Macaca fascicularis: one gene and its partner. The protein of the gene in region 1 interacts with the protein of each later gene in a pairwise test. Links are inferred from orthologs where the notes say so. Each region holds a gene or a part of one and is shown on either strand. Other genes may lie near its edges.

Region 1 (6,158 bases):
AAGGAAGGAAGGAAGCCGGGCACGGTGGCTCAAGCCTGTAATCCCAGCACTTTGGGAAGCCGAGACGGGCAGATCACGAGGTCAGGAGATCAAGACCATCCTGGCTAACATGGTGAAACCCCGTCTCTACTAAAAAATACAAAAATCTAGCCGGGTGAGGTGGCGGGCGCCTGTAGTCCCAGCTACTCGGGAGGCTGAGGCAGGAGAATGGCATAAACCCGGGAGGCGGAGCTTGCAGTGAGCTGAGATCCGGCCACTGCACTCCAGCCTAGGCGACAGAGCGAGACTCCGTCTCAAAAAAAAAAAAAAAAAAAGGAAGGAAGGAAGGAAGAAAGGAAGAAAAAAAAGGGGACCAGGTGTGGTAGCTCACACCTGTAATCCCAGAACTTTGGGACGCCAAGGTGGGAGGATTACTTGAAGCCAGCAGCTTGAGATCAGCCTGGGCAATATAGCGAGATGGTCTCTACCAAAAAATTTAGGCCGGGCACGGTGTCTCATGCCTGTAATCCCAGCACTTTGGGAGGCTGAGGTAGGCGGATTACTTGAGTTCAGGAGTTTGAGACCATCCTGGCCAACATGGTGAAACCCTGTCTCTACTAAAAATTAAAAAAAAAAAAAAAAAAAAAAATTAGCCGGGAGTGGTGGTGCGCACATGTAGTTCCAGCTACTCAGGAGGCTGAGGCATGGAAATCGCTTGAACCTGGGAGGTGGAGATTGCAGTGAGCTGAGATCTCACCACTGCACTCCAGCCTGGGTGACAAGAGCGAAACTCCGTCTCTAGCTGGGCATAGTGCCACATGCCTGTAGTCCCAGCTACTTAGGAGACTGAAGTGGGAGGATCACTTGAGCCCAGGAGTGGAAGACAACAGTGATCTATGATAACACCACTGCACTCCAGCCTGGGCAACATAGCAAGGCCCCATCTCTACAAAAATAAAGACAATTAGCTGAACGTGGTGGCACACACCTATAGTTCAGGGAGGCCAAGGCAGGAGGATCACTTGAGCCAGGGACGTGGAGGCTGCAGGGAGCTGTGTTTGTGCCGCTGCATTCCGGGCATCAGAGCAAGACCCTGTCTCAAAAAAAGAAAGAAGAAACGAAGAAAAAAAAAAGAAAAACCAAAGAAGTTGCCCAAGGTTATGAACCTAGGGAAACCTAAGGAGGCAGAGAGTCACGGACTCCAAGGCAGGTCAGCCTCCTTGGAGGCTGCTGGGGCTAGGGGCCTCCTGGGGCTACATCCGCAACTCTCACCTCTTCCCCGCTAGATGGGGTCCTTCTCCATCACTGCTGACTCTTCCGCCTGGGACTGGAGCCCAGGCTGCCAGGGAGGGGCCATCTCACCCACAGGGCCCGTCCTCAGCTGGCCGGGGGTGGGAGCCACGGCGGCCGGCCAGGCCTGGCAAGGGCACCGTGTGCCCAGGGAGTCTGGCCCACACCCAGCCCAGAGACAAGGGGCCCATTCAGGGCCCCCCGCCCCGCCCCCAAGCAGCCACCCGGATCCAGCCCGCAGAGGGGACACACTGGGAAGCTGGGGGTGGATCTTGGGCAGCCACCAAAGACCTCATTGTTTCCTGGTCCCCCCGCCCAGCACGTGGGCAGACGCCCCCCCACCCCCAATCCTCGCCTGCCCCTTCCCAGGACCCGAACCGCTGGCTCCCTTCTCCAGTCTCTGTCTCAACCCCTCCATCTCCCACGCTTTAAACCTCCCCAGTCTGCAAAAGATCTCAGGGAAGCCCCAAATGGCAGGCGCAACCCCTGAGTCTGAACACAAGCAACGAACGAGATGTCAACCTCCAAATTCAAGTTTCTTCAGAATTTTTAATTATTATTATTTTAATAACAACCTGAATCCCAGAACTTCCAGATACTGTCCACACTCCCTCCCCTAGGCAGAGGAGAGGATGCACCTCAAGGGAACAAGGTGGGGGTGGGGTGTCTGCCAGGGAGCCTCCAACTCCCCCAGGCCGTCGACTGCTGGGGGTCCCATGAGGGAGGGTGGAGGTTGGTTCCCTCCCAGAGGGGGCTCCCTCTGATGCCCCGTCCTGAAGTCCTCCCTCCTCCATCAAGGCTGGGGATGATGAGGAGATGGGGCAGGGGCCGGGGGACCAGGCCGTTACTGAGCCTTGAACTCCCACCCTGGGGACATGGGGACATTAAAGCTGCATAGGAAGAGGGGGCAGGCGGCTGACAAAAGGCCGGGCAGCCCCAAAGGCACATTGTAAGGGAAGGGAGGCTCAGACGGAGGGCCCATTGGGCGCGGAGGGCCCAAGCCGTGGGACCCCCGAGGAGGGCAGCTGAGCCAGCTGCTCCGGGCTGGCCAGGGCGCGCAGCAGCCCGTTCTCCTGCTCCAGCGCAGCGTTCCGCTCTGCCAGTTCCCGGATCTGCTCCTTCAGTACCTCCACCTCCTCCCGGACCGCAAACATGAGGTGGGACTTCACCAAATCCTGGGGGCCCCGGGGACAGGCACAGTGTCAACGGAGTGGGTGCCTCATCCCCTGCCCAGTGCCTCAAGGGCCGGGATGGGAGAGAGTCCCGTGTCCAGAGGATGAGAGACAAAGCAGGGAAGGGACAGGGGAAAAGGACGAGGGACAGAGGCAGAGTCAGAGCTCAAAGACAGAGATGGGGACCAGCAGCCAGACCAGAGGCCGGGCAAAGTCAAGGGTGCAGGTGGCGGTAGGAGGGGGCAGAGGATGCCCAGGAGCCCAGCAGGGAGAGGGATGGAGGAACTGGGAGTTGGTGTTCCCTGGTAAGGAAGAAGACAGGGCTGGGGCGGAGGGATGGCTTAAGGGGGCCGGGACCTCCTGGGACCAAGATGGCTTCTCTTACCATGGCTTGCTCGATTTTGTTGTCAATGCCAACCAGGCTTCCGGAGCCACTGGAGAGACACAGGAAGGTGAGGGGAGGAGAGGAGGAGCCTTCCCAGGTGCTGGTTTCTTGGACCACAGCCTCCCGCCCACACCCCCCTATACCTGTGACAGTAGAGAATGAGGGAGAGGAGGGTTTTGTCCATCCCCCTGCGGGCTGAGGGCCGCTGCCCAGGGCCTCCCAGGCCCCGGTGGGGCGGGGGCCCAGATGTCCCTCGTATGGGGGACGCACCCCGGGGAGAGCAAGGGGAAGAGGCACAGCCCCTTTTTCGGGGCGGCCCCGGAGCCATCCCCACCACTCGGGTCTCATAAGATGACACCAGGGACTTGACAGAGATCCCTGGCTGGGCCATGCCCAAGGGGAAAGGGTCCTTAGACGCCCCCCCAACGGAGAAGGATGCAGTGAAGGGAATGCCTGGGGGGCTCAGAGCCCCCCGGGCAGAGCGGGGTCTGGCTGGTGCCAGGCGGGCAGAGAGGAGACAGTGCCTCGGGGGTGCTGGCCTGAAAGATATACACCACCCCCCCCAAGGGCAAGGCCTGGCTGCTATTGGCTCCTTGGGGACACGGGGACCCCCCCTCCCCTCGGCTCCTCGGTGGGCGGGAATTCCCAGACACGGTCAGTGCCAGTGTCCCCTTCTCACCCTGGCACCAATCCCAGAGTGGAGGGGAGGGGGCCGGCCGAGGAAGTCAGCTGGTGGCTGGGCCAGGGGAGGGGCGTGGGGCAGAAGCCTGGGTCTGAGAGGGGAGTAAAGGGTGTGAAGGGAGACGAAGGGCCTGGCCCTCGGAGGCCCCTCCCCACCTCTGACCCCATCCTGTCCCCTCTGTCCCTCAAGGCCTTGGGAAAGAGGGTGGAGGTGGCTGGGGTAGGGGGCGTTCTGACGTACTCGTGGTCTTCCATAGATCATGAGTGCTCTACTACCAAAAAACCCCACAAGGCTCACATCATGGGTGACCCCGGGACCTGGCCAGAGGGTCCCTGACTTTCCAGAGAAGACCAAAAATGGGAAAGGTTACCACGGCAACAGAAACTGAGCCCAGAGCCCTAGAAGACGAATACAGCCTAAAGGCCAGGTGCGGTGGCTCACACCTGTAATCCCAGCACTTTGGGAGGCTGAGGTGGGTGGATCATTTGAGGTCAGGAGTTCGAGACCAGCCTGGCTAACACGGTGAAACCCCATCTCTACTGAAAATACAAAAATTAGCCAGGCATGGTGGAGGGTGCCAGTAATCCCAGCTACTCAGGAGGCTGAGGCAGGAGAATTGCTTGAACCGGGAGGTAGAGGTTGCAGTGAGCTAAGATCGTGCTACTACACTCCAGCCTGGAAGACAGAGTGAGATCCTGTCTCAAAAAAAAAAAAAAAAAGGGACAGGCATGGTGGCACATGCCCGTAATCCCAGCACTTTGGGAGGCTGAGGCAGGCGGATCTCCTGAGGTCAGAAGTTCAAGACCAGCCTGGCCAACATGGTGAAACCCTGGCTCTACTAGAAGTACAAAAAATTAGCCAGGCGTGGTGGCAGGTGCCTGTAATCCCAGCTACTCAGGAGGCTGAGGCAGGAGAATCGCTTGAACCTGGGAGGTGGAGACTGCAGTGAGCCGAGATCAGGCCACTGCACTCCAGCCGGGGCAACAAGAGCAAAACTCTGTCTTAAAAAAAAAATACCGCCGGATCACGAGGTCAGGAGATCGAGACCATCCTGGCTAACACGGTGAAACCCCGTCTCTACTAAAAAATACAAAAAACTAGCCGGGCGAGGTGGTGGGCGCCTGTAGTCCCAGCTACTCAGGAGGCTGAGGCAGGAGAATGGCGTGAACCCGGGAGGCGGAGCTTGCAGTGAGCTGAGATCTGGCCACTGCACTCCAGCCTGGGCGACAGAGCCAGACTCCGTCTCAAAAAAAAAAAAAAAAAAAACCGCCTATGGGCCTGGGACCTGGGTCTGGGGTCTCAGAGGAAGCGAGGGCTCAGAGGAGAGGAAGGGAAGTGAGCTTGGAGATGGGACATTGGGAAGAGGAGCAACAGGGCTTGGAAGAGAGGTGGGAGTCCCAGGTGACAGGGTCTGGCTGCAGTCTGGGAAGTGGCCACCAGAGGGCGACTCAGGCCTGGCTCAACAGCCCCCAGGGCCAGGCTCCAGGCTGGCTCCAAGACGCTGGGCTCTTGGTCCCAGAACCTGGCTCTCCCTCAAGCCCCACTCTCACCGCCCAGGACCTGCACAGGCTCTTGTGCCGACCTCATCCTCCAAGGCTCCCTCTCCCACCACTCTGGCCCCAGGCTCTTGCCCTGAGGCTCCAGACCTACCCTTGTACCCCTGCACTCTGGTGCTGTGGTGGGATCCCCAGTCCTGCCCTCCAGCCCCCAGCTGGGCCCCGCTCGGAGCAGGGGCCTCAAGGGGCTGCAGGCCACATCCCTGGGCTCCCTTGTAAGCTCTCCCTCCTGGCTGTCAGCTCAGACTCGCTTCCCCGCAGGGGGATCAGCACTCAATTCAAGGTGACCCTTGGATGAGGTCCTGCAGCCAGGAAGGGAGCACAGGGAGCTGGGAATTTTCCATTTCTCATCCAAGCTCTGGGTGCAGAACGCGCTGACAGGTAGAGCAACTGAGGTGACCAGGCCTGAGTGAGCAGGATGGGGTGGGTGGGGGAAGGGAATCTGGGACTCCTGGGGCAGTGGGAGAGGAGAAGTTGAAGGCGGGGTGGTGGGTCTGCCAGCAGGAGGGTCAAAGTAATTTTTGAGCTATTTCAATCAGCAACACCTGAGTGGATATGGAGCCACCACAGAAAACCCAATACCCCCCCTCCACCACATTACACAGACTCACAGAGACCAAAGCGGGTGGATACCTAGGGATAGGAACATGGGCCCTGCTTGGCGGAGACTCAGGGGTAAAGATGTCAAGTAAGGTGTTCGTTCTCGCCAGAGATAAAGGAATAATACAACAATAAACGTTTGTTGGCCAATAGGTGACTGTCTTCTGTTTGTCTAGCGCCTGAGAGTTTCTGACAGCACTTTCCACTGGGGCTTTTTTTTTTTTTTTAAGACTAAGTCTTGCTCTTGTCGCCCAGGCTGGAGTACAATGGCGCGATTTCGGCTCACTGGAACCTCCACCTCCCGGGTTCAAGCGATTATCCTGCCTCAGCCTCCAGAGTAGCTGAGATTACAAGCATGCGCCACCACGCCCAGCTAATTTTTGTATTTTTAGTAGAGATGGGGTTTCACCATGTTGGCCAGGCTGGTCGCCAACTCCTGACCTCGTGATCCGCCCGCCTCAACCTCCCAAAATGCTGGGATTACAGGTGTGAGC
Region 2 (6,158 bases), on another chromosome or scaffold:
TGATCTTGAGGTTCAGGGGTGCATTCTGGGTGGATTCCCTTGGCATAGGTGGTTGGCCCTCAGCAACTGCAACCCTCATTTGGCTCTGTCACCCTGGGCTGCCAGGACACAAGTCTTTCCATGCTTTTCCCAGTGCTTGACTTGGCACTCCCTGCAGGCAGGTGGGTGTTGAGGAGGGCAGTGCATGTGGGGGATGTGGCAGTAGGACTTAGGGGTCCAAGGTCCTAGGATACCCTCACCTGCAGCAATACCACTCATTCTGGCATCGCGAGCAGCGCTTAGAAGCCTCTGCACTGCAGTAAGCACAGCGGGGCCGCTCTGGAGCCACTGCCTCTAGCACGTCCAGCCTGTAGGTCTCAGCCCACCTGGGGGAAAGTCAGGAAGGTCTGACTGGCCTTGGAAGGTGGGGGCATCCCTGCCCACATCCATGCCTCCTGCATCCCATCCACTCCTCCTGCCAGTTCCACAGGACTTACCTTTGTGCCTGCAGCCGCAGGTCCTGCTGTGAGGGGCTGAACACATGTTGGAGCTGGTGCTTGGCAATTGCCTGCCACTTGCCTCTGTTTTCTCGCTCCAGCCGCTCCCAGATTTCTGGGATCTAGGGAAAGGAGTGGAGAGTGGCAGGAAGGTGCTGGTAAAGTAGGACAGTGGTCCTGAGGAGCTAACTTTCCAGTGTCTACCTGTTCCAACACCAGGTCCTTCTTAGGGGGCTGGGTTTCAGTCAGGGCCAGATGGGCCAGGAAACTCTGCAAGTGGGCCAGGTTGGGCAGCTGGTCCAGTAGTGTGTCTGTGAGGAAGGCCCGAAGCTGCAAGAGTGTCCAGTGGAGGCCAGTGTGATGCAGGTGCTGGCCAGGGGGCCACGGAAAAGGAAGGGGCTGGGTTGGGCTGAGCATGCCTGTGGGGGTCCATGTCCCACTAGCTGGTGTGTCACCTGAGGCCCAAGGACTGAAAAGAGCACGGGGGTTGAGGTGGGTGGGCAAAGATAAACAGCAGGGACAGGGTCAGGGTAGGATGGGGAGGGCGGTGCTGGGGCTGTGGGGGCTGGTGCAGAGGGAGTCCGACCTTGAGTAGCTGTCCCTTGGCAAAACTTGTGAGGCAGTAGCGCGCCTGGGCCTCAGGGCTTAGCAGCAGGTTGTACAGGGCTATCCACACTTGCCCGTCCAACTTGCTCAGCTTTTGCTGCTCTGAGGGGGCCACAGTATGCCAACGGCTGCCCTCGAACTGCTGCAGCTTGCCTGGGGAGAGGAACCAGCACACTGGGTACAGGCATTGCATTCTCTTCAAGTGAGCCAGCTGTGGGGCCTGGGAGACTGACCACTGCCTGGGAATGGTGGGAGAACCTGGGCCACAGGACTTGCCCAGGCTATAATGCTGCTGACCCCAGAGCAGAGTGAGCCTCAGTAGTGGACACATGGGCCTGGCCTGCTGCAGAGCTCAGGTCTAGGCCACTCTTGGCTGAGGCATCCTGGTATCCTCAGATGGGCTTGGGGACGGGGTTTGTCTTCGTGTGTGCAAACTGCCCCCTCTATCAAAAAGATATCCTGAAGCAGTAGCCTGGGGCTTAGGCTGGTGTGGGAGGACCCTACCTCCTTCCCGCCGGTTCCAGGGACTATGCTCCAGCAGTTCCACCAGGAGGCAGGGCAGGTTGTGTGTGCTAAGCATACGGCTCAAGGTGCTGAGAGAGAGGCTAGGGGCAGGGACGTTGTGAAGGAGGTGAGCAGAGGCAGGCTACAGGCCCAGTCTTCCAGCCCTCCACGGTAGGCCCAGGCCCAGTCGGACTGCCCACCTGTCCACACAGTCTGTGATGTAGCGCAGTACTGAGAGGGCCTTCAGTGCAATCTCAAATTCCATCAGCTCTGCCTGCTTCTGCAGCTCCTGCGAGGTCACACAGTGTTCATGCTGGGCTACCCTTGCCTGTGCAGGCCTTGGGGAACCCAGACCTAGGCTTTCACAATCCTAGGTAACCTCAACCCACCTGCATGGGGTTGCTGTCCTGGGACCCCTCCCCTTCAGGGGGGCCACCACAGCCACTCCGGGCCACCAGCAGAATCAGTTTGCGGTGGCAATAGTCTACCAAGTCCAAGACAGTGTCTTCTGCTGACTCACACACCTCCTGGGGAAAGGGGGAGGGAAACTTTCTGTGTCTGATGCCCTCCCCACACAGATACAACCTCCCTTCCTGCCAGGCCCTGACCTGAAACTGTGGCCCATGGGCAGAGATAGTCCCTCACCTTGTGGAAGAACACTGTCTCCAAGAGGTTGATGATGGAGGCCTCGTGGTGCACCTGACAGACAAAGAGAGGGACAGGGCCTGTGGTAGGGATAGGGGCTACCAGCTCCCCTCCCCAGTCCAGAGCCCTCTGAAGGAGTGGGAGGAGGTATGAACCAGGGGCCCAGCTCACCACCATGTAGATGGGAAAGGTGTTCTGGGGCTTGAAGTCCTCCACCCTGCAGAGCACGGGGAACACCTTCTGCTTCCACATCTCCACTGCGATCAACTCCTCCACCAGTGTTGGGACCTTTGAAGGATGGGGTAAAGGACAGGGATGAGATGGGCCTACCTTTGCCTGGCAACCCTCCCATCCCCAGCTTGGCTCAGCTCAGCCCAGATCTCCCCAAACACTGCTGGGCCCCTAAACTATCCCAAACCCCATGGCTATCCTTCCTGACTTTTCTCTTGCATTTCGGACCTTCGTTTCCAGCTGCTCCCAACACCTCTGTGGATGTCCCTCATGCTTATGTGACTGGCTCCTGCCCAGTTCCCAGACTGCCTTGCCCTGCCTGCACCTGCCCCGTTATCCTCTCCCCGCCCATTCAGGCGTCCCTTTCAAGTCAGCCCTTCTGCTCATGCCCTCCCTCTTGTCCCTGTCCTGTGGTTCTCTAAGGCTCTTGTGTGCCTTTGGCCTCACTCTTACTCAGGACCCTTCACAGTGCCCTGTTCTTCTTATCCTATCCCCTTGTATGAGTTCCACCTTTCTCTTGCAAAGGAACTCTTTTTTTTTTTTTAGACAGAGTTTCACTCTTGTCACCAAGGCTGGAGTGCAGTGGCACGATCTCGGCTCTCTGTAACCTCTGTCTCCTAGGTTCAAGCGATTCTCCTGCCTCAGCCTCCCGAGTAGCTGGGATTACAGGTGTGCACCACCATGCTCAGCAAATTTTTGTATTTTTAGTAGAGGCAGGGTTTCACCATGTTGGTCAGGCTGGCCTTGCACTCCTGACCCCAGGTGATCCACCCGTCTTGGCCTCTCAAAGTGCTAGGATTACAGGCATGAGCCACCATGCCTGGCTTTTTTTTTTTTTTTTTTTTTTTTGGTCAATTGATATCTCAGGTCATCTGCTGGTGACACTCCCTGGTCCATGTTCCAGCCAGCCATCTCATTGGTTTCTAACTTTCCCCTCTCATGTTAGGAAGGCTGCCTCCTTCCATGCCAAAGTTCTACTTCCAGTTAAGTTATCTCCCCTCCCTCCTGCCCTCCCCACCCCCTCCCCAGCCTTACAGTCAATTCACAGATGCCTTTAGCATTTGGGCCTTCCCCTCGAAGCCTAAGCTGTTTTAGGACCTACAGCTTTCTCCCTAATCAACTCATGCCCTGTACCTAGCCTGGTGTGCCAGAGTCCTGTCCAACAGCGACACAAAATGAAACATGTAACACATTCCTCTCTCCCCTTCAGGGAGGACAGGTGTACCAGGCCAGAGGGGAAAAGCACACAGGGGACTCCTGAGGGTTAGAGTAGGTGAGGTATGGGGGAAGGCAGGAACCCTGCCTGTGACCTCGGGGTACCTTCCCATGGGTGACCAGCAGCTCCTGAATGGGCTCGCCCTGGCTGATTGTGGCATCGAGGATGGCTTGCATGTTCAGCTTCTCCAGGTTCTCGTGCTGCTGGTTCCACCTGCCTCAGAGGGTTGTGTAAGTGCATGTGGGTCCACGTGTGTGCATTTGGAGTGGGGATGGGGGCTGGATCCTATTGAAGCCTAACCTGATCCTGAGGGGACACAGGGGGCTCAGGAACAATTATATTCCTGTCTCGGAACACTCTGCTCCCCCATTTGGGAGCCCCTCCACACTGGGCAGCCCCTCCCCCCATGTCAGGCTCCAGCTCCCCCACTCAGGGACAATGACTCCGTGACTCCGCCTGACCCGGGTGCCTCACCCTTCGGAGCCCATCTCGCGTAGCGGGAAGCTGCGCAGACCCCGCACCAGCACTTCAGCTTCCCCGGGCAGCAGCAGTTCCAGGTCTCCCATATCGAGGCCGGGGTCCGGCGGATCCTGGGCAGCAGCCGGGGTGGGGATGCTGACACACTCGGGGACGACGGACCCCGACGGTGCCAAAGTCTGGGACAGGACAGTTGTGGGACGGTTGGGGAGCGTGAGTTCTCGCAGCCATGGAAACGGGTTAGCCGCGCCTGCGCAGTGCGGCTTGGGCTCCGCCCCTGGAGGTGGCTCGCGCCTAAATCCGGGCGGGTCTCCAGCCCGCCTCGCCTACGGGGCTGCCAATCGCCACAGTATTTGGATTCCCACAGCTTTCTCGCGATGTGGACCACGAGTCTCTCCTGAGCTCCAGTTCCTTGTGGTCTGGACTCTGCCCTCGGACGCCAAGTCGGCTTGCACGGGGATGGGGGTAACCCCGACCCCACGAGCTCCTCCTGCTGCTGCTGCGGCATCTTGACCCACCCGCTGCTCCACCTCCTCCTTATGGCTTCCTGATTCCTCTGTTTCTCGCGTCCCGGCTCCATTAGTTGGCTCCTGAAATACTGCCAGGGCGCACGACTTCTCTCCATCCTCCCTATGTCCAGACTGTCATCACCTGTCGTGGGTTAACTGCGGCAGCCTTTTCTGTAGACTTACTTCCACGCTTGATCCTCACGGACAGCCCCGGAGCCTTAAAAGTGTGTATCACGCCGGGCGCGGTGGCTCACGCCTGTAATCTCAACACTTTGGGAGGCCGAGGCGGGCAGATCACTTAAGGTCAGGAGTTTGAGACCAGCCTGGGCAACATGGTGAAACCCTGTCTCTATTAAAAGTACAAAAATTAGGCCGGGCGCGATGGCTCAAGCCTGTAATCCCAGCACTTTGGGAGGCCGAGACGGGCGGATCACGAGGTCAGGAGATCGAGACCATCCTGGCTAACACGGTGAAACCCCGTCTTTACTAAAAAATACAAAAAACTAGCCGGGCGAGGTGGCGGGCGCCTGTAGTCCCAGCTACTTGGGAGGCTGAGGCAGGAGAATGGCGTAAACCCGGGAGGCGGAGCTTGCAGTGAGCTGAGATCAGGCCACTGCACTCCAGCCTGGGCCACAGAGCGAGACTCCGTCTCAAAAAAAAAAAAAAAGTACAAAAATTAGACAGGTGTGGTAGCACACACCAGTTGTCCCAGCTACTCGGGAGACTGAGGCAGGAGAATCGCTTGAGCACAGGAGGCGGAGTTTGCAGTGAGGCAAGATTCCACCACTGCACTCCAGCTTGGACAACAAAGGGAGACTCTGTCTCAAAAAAAAAAAAAAAAAAAAAAAAAAAGTGTATAGGCATCATTCCCTCACATGAGAGGGGCTCTGCAACTACCTCTGGCCCTCAAAATGCTAGGTCGGGTGCTGCTTACCAGCAGCTCTGCAAGACCTACTTCTTGCCTGTCTTGTACCTCGGGACTTGGATTCTTTCCTCTCCTCCTTTCTTCCCTGGACCTACCTCATACATTCCAAAGAGGTTTTGCCTCAGGGTTTTGCACTTTGCCTGGAATACTCTTCCTTCAGGGCTCAGTTTACATCTCAGTATGGCCTTTCTTGGCCGTTTAATCCAGAGCAGTCCCTGCCTCCAACCCCCTTTTTTTTTTTTTTTTTTTTTTTTGAGAGTCTCAGTCTGTCACCCAGGCTGGAGTGCAGTGGTGTGGTCTCACTCACTGCAACTTTCACCTCCTGGGTTCAAGCCATTCTCTGCCTCAGCCTCCCAAGTAGCTGGGATTACAGGCACCCACCACACACGCGGTTTTTTGTATTTTTAGTAGAGACAGGGTTTCACCACCTTGGCCAGGCTGGTCTTGAACTCCTGACCTCGTGATCCACCTGCCTCGACCTCCCAACTCACTCTTGATCACATCTGTTCCTTTTTTTGAGATTGAGTCTCCTGTCACCTAGGCTGGAGTGCAGTGGCATGATCTCGGCT

What was found. The genes of interacting proteins can lie anywhere in the genome.
Region 2: the proteins of TSC22D4 (region 1) and ZMYND10 interact in binary tests that used the Homo sapiens proteins (3 or more experiments, as listed by UniProt). The two-hybrid records come from large-scale screens. The link is inferred for Macaca fascicularis from reciprocal best matches to the Homo sapiens genes TSC22D4 and ZMYND10.

The regions. Positions count from the first base shown.
Region 1 is NC_088377.1:49,047,428-49,053,585, forward strand, and holds the end of TSC22D4 (TSC22 domain family protein 4), read right to left. Parts: intron 2,970-6,158; coding exon of another isoform or gene 2,876-2,969; coding exon 2,827-2,875; intron 2,445-2,826; coding exon 2,235-2,444; 3' UTR 1,799-2,234; downstream 1-1,798.
Region 2 is NC_088376.1:113,376,934-113,383,091, forward strand, and holds the start of ZMYND10 (zinc finger MYND domain-containing protein 10), read right to left. Parts: upstream 4,387-6,158; 5' UTR 4,245-4,386; coding exon 4,153-4,244; intron 3,892-4,152; coding exon 3,783-3,891; intron 2,520-3,782; coding exon 2,403-2,519; intron 2,286-2,402; coding exon 2,232-2,285; intron 2,114-2,231; coding exon 1,976-2,113; intron 1,876-1,975; coding exon 1,787-1,875; intron 1,688-1,786; coding exon 1,587-1,687; intron 1,236-1,586; coding exon 1,063-1,235; intron 946-1,062; coding exon of another isoform or gene 928-945; exon of another isoform or gene 807-927; coding exon 681-806; intron 599-680; coding exon 477-598; intron 366-476; coding exon 240-365; intron 152-239; coding exon 76-151; 3' UTR 1-75. UniProt on the Homo sapiens protein: Plays a role in axonemal structure organization and motility. Involved in axonemal pre-assembly of inner and outer dynein arms (IDA and ODA, respectively) for proper axoneme building for cilia motility.